Linked DNA regions of Mus musculus. The protein of the gene in region 1 interacts with the protein of each later gene in a biochemical or structural test. Links are inferred from orthologs where the notes say so. Each region holds a gene or a part of one and is shown in the gene's direction. Other genes may lie near its edges.

Region 1 (3,652 bases):
TGTGTGTTGCACTGCACCCCTTTGGGGTTAAACATTAGATACTTTTTGTATTATCAGATATTTACATTATAATTCATTAACAGTAGGAAAATTACACTTATGAAGTAGCAACAAAAGTAATTTTATAATTGGGGGTCACCACAATACAAGGATGTGTATGGTCAAAGTGTTAGAAAGGTTGAGAACCAATGCCTCGGAAGTTATAACTTAGTTGTAACTGAAAAAAGATCACTATGTGTCTTACATGAGTCAGTCTCATCTCTGAGGTTTTTGGTTTGTTTTTTGTTTGTTTGTTTGTTTCTTTAATATATAAGATGAAAGTAACATACTATTCCATTTCTAAAATACTCTTCACAGACAAAGTTAGAGTAGACAACATTGTTCTAATGTGAGCCCAACTATACCAAGCTTGTGGACAAGAACTAACACCTAGTAGATGCTCAGTAAATATTAGCTTTTGTTGTGAATATTACTACCTGTAGGATAAATAATAAACTGTGGTATAGGGGAAAAAACTCTAAAAATTACAGGCGTAAATCAAGCAAGGTAAGTGTTATGATCATCTTTATTAATAAATGTAAATGAAAGTTGTCTGGGTGGATTAGTTCCAGCTGGGCATAGTAACTCCAGCCTGTGGGAACTGAGACAGGAAGATCCTAAGTTCTGGACTACCGTAAGCTTCATAGTCACAGCCTACCTAAAAGGGAAAAAAACCCAAATATATTATAAAACACAACTTTGTTTAACTTCATGTTCCCTCTCAAGGTAATGGAATTAGAATCAAAACTAAATGAAGCAAAAGAAGAATTTACGTCGGGTGGTCCTCTTGGTCAGAAACGGGACCCAAAAGAATGGATTCCCCGTCCACCTGAGAAATACGCATTGAGTGGTCATAGGAGTCCAGTTACTCGAGTCATTTTCCATCCTGTGTTCAGTGTTATGGTCTCTGCTTCAGAGGATGCTACAATTAAGGCAAGTTCTTTTCATTTGTTCATTTTGCTTTTTGTTTTGTGGTTTTTGTTTTTTTGGTTTTTGTTTTAATTTTGTTTTGTTTTGAGAGACATGATCTTTTTTTCTATGTAGTCTTGACTGTCAGACTGACTTTGAACTCAGAGAAATTCTCCTACCTTTGCCTAGTAAATGATGTGATTAAAGTAAGGTAAATTTCTCTGAAAGGCAGACTTGATGTAAGTTAGGTGACAGAAAAGATTTTGAAAATTTTGAAAATAAGGAGGTGGCTCAGTGGTTAAGAGCACAGACTGTTCTTCCAGTGGTCCTGAGTTCAATTCCCAGCAAGCACATGGTGGCTCACAACTATATCTGTAATGGGATCTGATGCCCTTTTCTGGTGTGTCTGAAGAGAGCAATGTTGTACTCCTATACATTAAATAAATAACTAAATAAATAAGAAAGAATGAATTCAAGTTCATTAGCAGCTATATAGCAAATTTGAGGTTAGCCTAGGCTACCTGAAGCCCTGTCTCATAAAATAAAAATAACCCCCTGATATACTTCGGGATAAATCTAGCTAAGCAAGCACAGAATTAAACACACAGTTATCGCTTTCATGTAGATATGCTTGAATATATGATTGAAGTTAAAGGTTTTATTTGTTTAGAGCTTATCGTGATAATGTGCCCAGCACTCCAAAGTGAAACAGATGGTTCATGAAATAGCTTAAGCTACTAGCAAGACTGCTTTAAAAAAAAACAAAAAACAAAAAACAAAAAAAAATTCTGGCTGGGCACATACTGTACACCTTTAGTTCTATCTCTTATGAGGCAGAGGCAAACATCTCAGTTTAAGGCCAACATGATCTAGATAATGAGACTTTGTCTCAAAACAACAAAAATAAAATTAAGAAAAATACTTTACATTGTTGTGGTATAAGATATAAATCTGGGGCTGGAGAGATGGCTCAGTGGTTAAGAGCACCGACTTCTCTTCCGAAGGTCCTGAGTTCAAATCCCAGCAACCACATGGTGGCTCACAACCATCTGTAATGAGATCTGATGCCCTCTTCTGGTGTATCTGAAGACAGCTACAGTGTACTTAGATATAATAATAATAAATAAATCTTTTAAAAAAAAAAAAAAAAAAGATATAAATCTGGGCCAGGCGTGGTGGCGCACGCCTTTAATCCCAGCACTTGGAAGGCAGGGGCAGGCAGCAGGTTGGATTTCTGAGTTTGAGGCCAGCCTGGTCTACAAAGTTAGTTCCAGGACAGCCAGGGCTATACAGAGAAACCCTGTCTCGAAAAACCAAAAAATAAAAAAATAAAAAATAACCCCCCCAAAAAAAGATAAATCTGTATCTTTCATATTGTATACATACTAGAATTTACTTATAGTTTTTATATTTGCTCATCAGTTCTTTCAATTTTTTTATTTTGGTTTCATTTATTTATATATATATTTTTTGTCTTCTGGGATCTGTTTATTTTGGTTTCATTTTTTTGAGACATGGTTTCTCTGTAACAAGCCCTGGCTGTCTTGGATTTTCTTTGTACACCAAGCTGACTTAGATCTCAAAGCAGTCTACCTGCCTACCTCTGACTCCTGAGTCCTGGGATTAAAGGCATGAACCACCAGGCCTAGTTAATCAGTCTTACGTTGACTATTTAGATTAAGTTTTTAAAATGTGGGCTGGAGAAGATGGCTTAGCCATTAAAAGCACTTGCTGTTCTTACAGAGGATCAGTGTTTGGTTCTCAGATCCTTTATGGTGGCTCTTTAATGTATTGCCTAGGCATTTTTTTAAAATATTATCTATTTCTCCAAATTTTTGTGTGTGTGTGTGTGTGTGTGTGTGTGTATTCCCTATGACATTTAAAATTGTGCCCACTGTAGGTAGAGTGGTCTAAACTGAGTTTAGAGCACGGAATCAGTATTCAATTTTTTTTCTTTCTATTTCTGTTTGTGGCTGTTGTTTTTGTTTGGATTTTTAATGTTTTCCTGAGTTGTTAGAGATTGAATTGAACCTAATACTTGTTGCATGTGAAACAAGTGCAAAAATCATTATTTTTAAAAATTATTTATAACAGACTATGATTTGGCCACCAGAGCAAAGAGTATTCCTGAGTGATATCTGTAATATTCATTCATGTTAATTCATAATTTCTGTTTTACTAAAAATGTCTTCTAAGGCCCCAGTACAGGGGGACGGCAGGGCCAAAAAGGGGGAGTGGGTGGGTAGGGGAGTGGGGGTGGGTGGGTATGGGGGACTTTTGGTATAGCATTGGAAATGTAAATGAGCTAAATACCTAATAAAAAATGGAAAAGGAAAAAAAATGTCTTCTAAGAATGAGACTTTTTAAAGCTGGGTGTGGTAGCACACACCTTTAATCCTAGCACTCCATAGGTAGAGGCAGGTGAATTTCTCAGTTATAGGCCAGCCTGGTCTTCAAAGTTCATTCCAGGACAGCCAAGGCTACACAGAGGAATCCTGTCTTGGAAAAGGTGTTTTGGTTAATCATGAGCACTTGATTCAGGGATAGTTTATAGTTTATGATTTCTCCTTAGTCCTCTTAGTATCTGAACTCTTAATACTCTAGTAAAATTGAGACCTTAAGTCAGTCCACTGTTCTACATACAATGCTCCTAACACATCTTTTTGCATGTATGCCTAGTACTATCAACTAGTGTATGCTGACT
Region 2 (3,752 bases), on another chromosome or scaffold:
CTTTTAACCAGTTGTATAGAACCAGAAGATTCCACTCTACGGACTAGACCTCAATTCCCAATCTTTAAAACACACTTCCCTTCTTAGGTGCTGCTTTCCCTTTTTTGATGTCTACACACACACACACACACACACACACACACACACACACACACACACACACACTATAAGCTAAAGTCCCATATGAAAGAAAGAAAATAAATCCTTTTGTCTCTCTCAGCCTCGGATACTTCACTCAGTATATCATTTTCGGTTCCACACAATTTCTTGCAAATCTCATAATTTCACATTTTACTGATGGGTGATTAAAATCATGCATATATCTTGCATTTTCATTACCCATTCATCTGTTAACAGACATCTGGGCTGTTTCTATTTTCTGGCTTTTGTGAATAGAGCAGCCATAAACACAGATATGCAAGTGTCTCTATGGTAGGTTATAGTCTCCTTTGGGTATATGCCCAGGAGTGGGAAGGTGAAACATTAACCAATGTTTTACATCAGTCTAAAATGTTTTGGAGTCATGCTGGGCCTAGAGACCTAAGTGCTGGCAAATTCTAGTAGCCAAGAAGCAGAACAGAGGCTGAAAATTTTCAGCAAATGAGAGGTCAGCCTGGGCTACACAGCGAGTTCCAGAACAACTATCACTATAAAGCTGGACCCTGACTCGATAAAACAACTGAACAAAAACTTGGAGAAGTGCCACTTTTCAATTCCAGCCTTCATGATTCCTGCAACTATTTTCCCGTGTACTGTCAATTTACTATTCCTGCTGACTTCGTTTAAAAAACAACCAGTGTTGGATGCATGAGCCGAAATGTTAAAAAATTTACATATTTTTTATTTTCTTTGAAGAAGATAAAAAGAGGAGATCTGTAATTTCTAAGAAACTTGATTTGGCCTGCTGAGTCCAGCCACTAGGCAGAAGGTTTTAGCCAAGTAAAATTGCCAATTTTCTAAGAGAAAGGGCTAGCACATTGCTCATTAGAGCATTCTGAGCTTGCCTGTGCAATCTTTTTTTTCCTACCCTGCAATTTCCTGTGCGTTATAAACGAAACCTTTCTAGCTGTTAATGCAGGCTGTGAATTGAAGAAAAAAAAGCATGTAATTAATCATAGGAGGTTGGGGGTGTTCGCTAAGCTTCAGTTACAGGGGAGAAGCTGGACAAGGCACTAGGACCTAGAAGGCAACTATCCACCCTGGCAGGAATTTCTTGCTTGGAGCTCAGACAACAAAGGCATAGAGAGATTGGTTTTCTTTCTCTCAGCATCTCCACCCAACCAGCAGAAAACCGGTGAGTGGGGCTTTCGAGTGATTTTCAAGCAGAATGTAACAGATGTCAACCGGGAAAGCACAAGGCACACGGCTTTCTTTCTCTGTGTGTTCGCCTCTTTCTTCTCTTTTATTTGCCTTATTCTATAGGATTTTTGTCCTCTAAGATTCTACCTGGGATTTTCCTTTGGAAAAGTGAGTTTGTTGTTCCTTTGTTTTCACTATGATGCTAATTTAGAATAATAGCACTTCTGATTCTAAAGCATAGCTTTATTTGCACAGCCTGCCTGGGGAAAATGCTTGCTACTCATCTTGAGGAGGTGGGCTCTTACTACTGCAGGTTGTCTGACAGAGACAATGCTGAGCTCAGCATAGGTCATGGTGACACTGGAAAAAAAGGGGGTACTGAGCCTGGCAAATATACCAACTACCAGTCCTCCTTTATCTCCTTTCTCCCTGGTTTCTTGCAAATCTCGATGTGGCAGTATATATATAGCAGCTGAGCCCTCTTGCTTTGTGAGTCTTTTTCCCCCCATTTGTGAGATGAATGTTAATAGTTTGGTTTCTTGGATGTCACATTACCTTTGTAAGGGGTTAGGGCTTTGGTTGTATTATTGGGTTGCATGTTTTCATTGTTTTGGACGTTTTTTTTTCTGGTGGGGGACGGGTTCAGGGGGGTTGAAATCCAAGCTTGACAGATGACTTTTTTTTTCCCTCCATCAATACACCTAAGCAATAGACAAGTTTGAAGTGAATTGCCTGCTTCGAGGGCAAAATATTCCTTCAGTCAGGGGAGAAACCCAGAACAATGAAAGGTGTACCTACTTGGAAAGGTCCCATGTGCTATTCAGGGACCCATTTGGGAATCTTTCCACAATTATTCCATTAAGAGGTGTTGCTGCATTCATTGGTCGGGGAGGGGATGAAACACCTGAAAGGAGAAAAAGGATTCTGTGATCAAATGGAAATGAAAGGGAAGCAGAGCTAATAGCTTGCTAAATAACTGGGTTTTTTCGACAATCCCTCCCCCTTTTAGACCCCAGCTTATTTCTTATGGATGCCGTATAGCGGCACCAGCTTGATGGGGAGAGGGTTTGATGAATAGCACAAAGGCACTGGGTATTCCCTGGAGGCTGTCCCTTTAAAAGAGAATCCTAGTTTATTCTGGGGGAGGGGATACACATATTAGAGCAGGCAAAAAAGGACAAGGAATAAAAGTAATTCACCCCCTTCCTAGCCATTGTATTGAGATGCAAAGGCTGCTTCCTACAGGAGGGTGCTAACCTTGGCTAGCTCCCTCTGTTTCTCTTTGAGGGAATTTAGTCAGGCTATGGATTCATTTACAACTGTTAGTCATGTGGCCATGTGTGAAGGAGCAGATGCCAGTTTTAATGTATTTTGCCCGAAGTTACAATTTGATAGGAGCCACTGTCAGGAAGCTCCAGGTTTTTAAGCTATTTCAACACGCCCTCCCCAAATTGGAACAGTGCCAAAAGTGCCACCCTTTCTATCTCTTCCTCCTATCCCCCTCCCCACCATTCAGTCCTCAGCCTACTGCCCAGCCCCCTCCTTCTTCTCTATTAAGATCAATATTCCTGCAGGTCAGGGACAAGCAGCAGATGGGTCACAGGCTTTTTTCAACCAGTTCTTTTCACAGGCAGCAGATTGCAGCTCTGGATCTGGCTAATATTTTAATTCTCCCCCCTCCCTTATCCATCCTTATTCTTTGCCTCTCCTTATCTCCACCCTTTTCTCTAACAATCAGGTTGCTGTGGTTCCACCAAAATATGGAACTTGATTTTGGACATTTTGACGAACGAGACAAAGCATCTAGAAATATGAGAGGGTCACGGATGAATGGACTTCCAAGTCCCACTCATAGTGCCCACTGTAGCTTCTACAGAACCAGAACCTTGCAGGCATTAAGTAATGAGAAGAAGGCCAAGAAGGTACGTTTCTACCGCAATGGGGACCGTTACTTCAAGGGGATTGTGTACGCTGTTTCTTCTGACCGTTTTCGTAGTTTTGATGCGTTGCTGGCTGACCTGACCCGATCCTTGTCTGACAACATTAACCTGCCTCAGGGAGTGCGCTACATTTATACCATTGACGGATCCAGGAAGATTGGAAGCATGGATGAACTGGAAGAAGGTAATTCAAGTAGTGAGTAGTGGGGTGGTGGCCCCTAGAGGGAAAGGACATCCTCGCTTATGGTTACATTTTTAGTCTTCCTTGAAAGAAACTAGGCTATTTGTTTGCTAAAACATCAAGTTGACTGATGCTCAGGCTTCTGATCCCAAAGTCACCACCAGGATCCTTAACTGTCATTCCTCATGGGGTTCCATCTCTGCTGAGGTTGACATGAATATGGGTTTTCTAATGCTAAATGTGCTTATCTACCTGGGTATACAAAGGAAACTCTGAATTGTGACACTCACTCTAGGTGTTGTTTATGGGTAACTCTGTATAGCACCTTCAAA
Region 3 (3,652 bases), about 5.8 Mb from region 1:
GGTTCAGAGTTTAGGACTTCCCATAGGAAGTTTATGGTGGCCAGTTTTCTGCCTGTCCTTCATTACATTTTAGTTCCTGTATTTTCTAAAGCTTCTGATTATTTGTTTGGACAAATTGCTTGCCTTACCATGTACTCTCTTAAAATTATATTTACATGACACATGCATTCCTTTCCTCTCTTTTTTGTATTCATAGCTTCTTGAGTTTTGGAGTTAATTGGGGTTAGAAATCTTCAGAAAGGAGTTGTCAGGCCCCAGGGATGGGTCAGTGGTTGGCAGATGTTTGCCTGACACGTGCATGGCCCTGGGCTCCGTTCTTCTCTACATCTATGACTTGGAGGCTTAGGAGAGTATTTCCTTCCTTTTAGAAATAGAGTATGGTTTTAAAATAAAACAATATCTTTTATATTCTTTGACCATTTCATGTAAATAATGTATTACCACGTCCACCCCTAGTTTCCCCCTCTTCCTCCTCTCAACATGGTCCCCTATGCCTTGTCTCTTTTTCTCTCCTGTAACCCGGTGAGTACAATTCTGTCTGTTGTAATGTTAACTAATCTTGTTAGCTTGCTCTTATATAGGTCTTGTTTAGGTAACTATAGCTTTTTAGTGATTGCAAGGGCCATGTTGTATCCAGAAGACAACATTTTAAATATTTTACAGAACTCTTTCTCATCCTTTAGTTCTTACATTCTTTGCACTGTCTCTGTGGTGTTTCCTGAGCCTTGTTGGTGGGATAGGATAGTGGTGTTAGAGATGTCCCCTTTAGGGCTGAGCACTCAGTCTTGCTCTGGCCAGTGCTGAAGGCAGTACTGATCTATGGGTATAAACACATGTTTAGGCAGATAGACATTGGTTAGCAAAAAATCCTGTAAACAGGTCCCTCAATATGGCCTGTGACCTTTGACCTGGTTTACAAGACCAGGCATGAATTCCCTTCCATAAGGCAGCCTCAGATTCAATCCAAAAGTGGTTGGTTACACCTTTAACCTTCATACTGTTATTGCATTAGTGGGCACATCTAGCCTGGCAGGGAAATTCCTTTATTAATAGATGATTACATATTAATAACACATCTTTCTCTGTACCTCTTCTTTCAGGAGAAACTAGAGCATCAGTATGCACAGAGCTACAAGCAGGTCTCAGTGTTAGAAGATGATTTAAGTCAGACCCGGGCCATTAAGGAGCAACTGCATAAGTATGTGAGAGAGCTGGAGCAGGCCAATGATGACCTGGAGCGAGCAAAAAGGTAAAGGATGCTGTGCATTCTATGAGCATACCCAGTTGTCAGCTCAAGCTTTCACATGCGTCTTAGCAACCCGTTTCTCCTTCAGTGTCTTATGTCCTTTGTCACTCATTGGATTTAAAGGAAACGAAACAAAACAACATGGGAGACTGAAGCAGGTGGATCTTGAACTCAGAGATCTGCCTGCCTCTGCCTCTAGAGTGTCTCTCCTCTCCTCTCCTCTCCTCTCCTCTCCTCTCCTCTCCTCTCCTCTCCTCTCCTCTCCTCTCCTCTCTTCTCTTCTCTTCTCAGATTTATTTATTTATTTAATGTATATGAGTACACTGTAGCTGTACAGGTGGTTGTGAGCCATCATGTGGTTGCTGGGAATAGAACTCAGGACCTCTGCTCTCTCTGGCCCGGTTTGTTCCTGTTGGTCCCGCTCATTCCGGCCTAAAGATTTATTATTATATGTAAGTACACTGTAGCTGTCTTCAGAAACACCAGAAGAGGGCGTCAGATCTCATTACAGATTGTTGTGAGCCACCATGTGGTTGCTGGGAATTGAACTCAGGACCTCCGGAAAAGCAATCAGTGCTCTTAACTGCTGAGGCATCTCTCCAGCCCTCTGTTATTTTTTCTTAACCACTCTAACTCATACTACTTTATAATTATTGCCTAGTATTTTTCTTTTATACTTATTGATTGACTCTTGGTTGACATGATGCTAGTCACTGTCCTTGTAGCTGATCCATAAGAGGCTTGCTCTGATAAAAGCTCTGGTAAGAAGAATGTATAGCCTGTTCTAGAGCAGCTCTAGTATCTGTGGGAACCGAGGAAGCCTTTTTACAAGTTGGGGCATGTCTGCAAAGACTAACTAGGCGAAGAGACAGTGAAAAGGCTGAGAGGCGAGAAGGTGTTTGACGTATGTTATTAAGAGGTTATTTTAGGGGCTGGAGAGATGGCTCAGTGGTTAAGAGCACTGACTGCTCTTCCGAAGGTCCTGAGTTCAAATCCCAGCAACCACATGGTGGCTCACAACCATCCATAATAAGATTTGACGCCGCCTTCTGGTGTGTCTGAAGTCAGCTACAATGTCTGAAGTCCGCTACAGTGTACTTATGTATAATAATAATTACATCTTAAAAAAAAAAGGTTATTTTAGGGTGTGTCTGAAGTCAGCTACAGTATACTTATATATAATAATAAATAAATCTTAAAAAAAAAAAAAAGAGGGCTGGTGAGATGGCTCAGTGGGTAAGGGCACCCGACTGCTCTTCCGAAGGTCTGAAGTTCAAATCCCAGCAACCACATGGTGGCTCACAACCACCCGTAATGAGATCTGGTGCCCTCTTCTGGTGTATCTGAAGACAACTACAGTGTACTTACATATAATAAATAAATAAATCTTAAAAAAAAAAAAAAAAAAAAAAAAGAGGTTATTTTAGGGCCGGGCAGTGGTGGCGCACGCCTTTAATCCCAGCACTTGGGAGGCAGAGGCAGGCAAATTTCTGAGTTCGAGGCCAGCCTGGTCTTCAAAGTGAGTTCCAGGACAGCCAGGGCTACACAGAGAAACCCTGTTTCGGGGGGTGGGGGGGGAGAGTTATTTTAGGGCTCTAGAAACTGCTCAGCAAAAGTGCTGACTGCTCTTGCAGAGGTTCTGAATTCAATTCGCAGCACCCACATAGTGGCTCACAGCCGTCTGTGATGGGGTCTGATGCCCTGATAGGTGTGTCCAAAGACTGCTACATGTACTCATATCCATAAAATCAATCAGTCTTAAAAAAAGATTGGAATTGGTATTCTGAGTTGTAATTTTAGGTTGGAGAATTTTGTATTTGTAGCAGATACCAGGGAATGGGAGCCCACAAGAGTAGGTCCGTGTTAATTTTTGCTGACTGAAGTGAAGTCATTCTCCAAATTGGGTCAGGCTGACTGGGTTAAGAATGGCAGGAGATAAACTGATTGCTTTCTTTTGTACTAGCTGTTTGAACATGCTGTTTAATTCATGGGCTTCAAATAATTTTTTTTTAAAGGGCAACAATAGTTTCACTGGAAGACTTTGAACAAAGGCTAAATCAGGCCATTGAACGAAATGCATTCTTAGAAAGTGAGCTCGATGAAAAGGAATCTTTGTTGGTCTCAGTACAGAGGTTAAAGGATGAAGCCAGAGGTAAGCTCTATCACTTAGCCAGTGTTTACCCATTGCCTGTGCCTGAGTAAGCACAAGGACTGACTAACCCCTCTGATGGTGCTAGGGGTCACCCCGGAGCTTGAGCAATTGGGTAAGCACTCTGCTCCTGAGCTGTGTTCCAGCCCTCAGTTTCTCGGAAGCTCTAGTTCTATATGCTTTTACATAGCTTTCAATCGTTGTGCCAAGTGCTTTTAACCTGGTCAATTATCTCATACCCATAGCATCAGTGCTGA

The links.
Region 2: the proteins of Pafah1b1 (region 1) and Dcx form a complex in vitro, tested with the Homo sapiens proteins (2 studies listed by BioGRID). The link is inferred for Mus musculus from reciprocal best matches to the Homo sapiens genes PAFAH1B1 and DCX.
Region 3: the proteins of Pafah1b1 (region 1) and Ndel1 form a complex in vitro, tested with the Homo sapiens proteins (3 studies listed by BioGRID). The link is inferred for Mus musculus from reciprocal best matches to the Homo sapiens genes PAFAH1B1 and NDEL1.

What each region holds. Positions count from the first base shown.
Region 1 is NC_000077.6:74,686,297-74,689,948, reverse strand, and holds part of Pafah1b1 (platelet-activating factor acetylhydrolase IB subunit alpha), read left to right. Parts: intron 1-765; coding exon 766-972; intron 973-3,652. UniProt on the Homo sapiens protein: Regulatory subunit (beta subunit) of the cytosolic type I platelet-activating factor (PAF) acetylhydrolase (PAF-AH (I)), an enzyme that catalyzes the hydrolyze of the acetyl group at the sn-2 position of PAF and its analogs and participates in PAF inactivation.
Region 2 is NC_000086.7:143,930,612-143,934,363, reverse strand, and holds the start of Dcx (neuronal migration protein doublecortin), read left to right. Parts: upstream 1-1,144; 5' UTR 1,145-1,294; exon of another isoform or gene 1,295-1,467; intron 1,468-3,037; 5' UTR 3,038-3,059; coding exon 3,060-3,423; intron 3,424-3,752. UniProt on the Homo sapiens protein: Microtubule-associated protein required for initial steps of neuronal dispersion and cortex lamination during cerebral cortex development. May act by competing with the putative neuronal protein kinase DCLK1 in binding to a target protein.
Region 3 is NC_000077.6:68,839,617-68,843,268, reverse strand, and holds part of Ndel1 (nuclear distribution protein nudE-like 1), read left to right. Parts: intron 1-1,100; coding exon 1,101-1,249; intron 1,250-3,261; coding exon 3,262-3,398; intron 3,399-3,652. UniProt on the Homo sapiens protein: Required for organization of the cellular microtubule array and microtubule anchoring at the centrosome. May regulate microtubule organization at least in part by targeting the microtubule severing protein KATNA1 to the centrosome.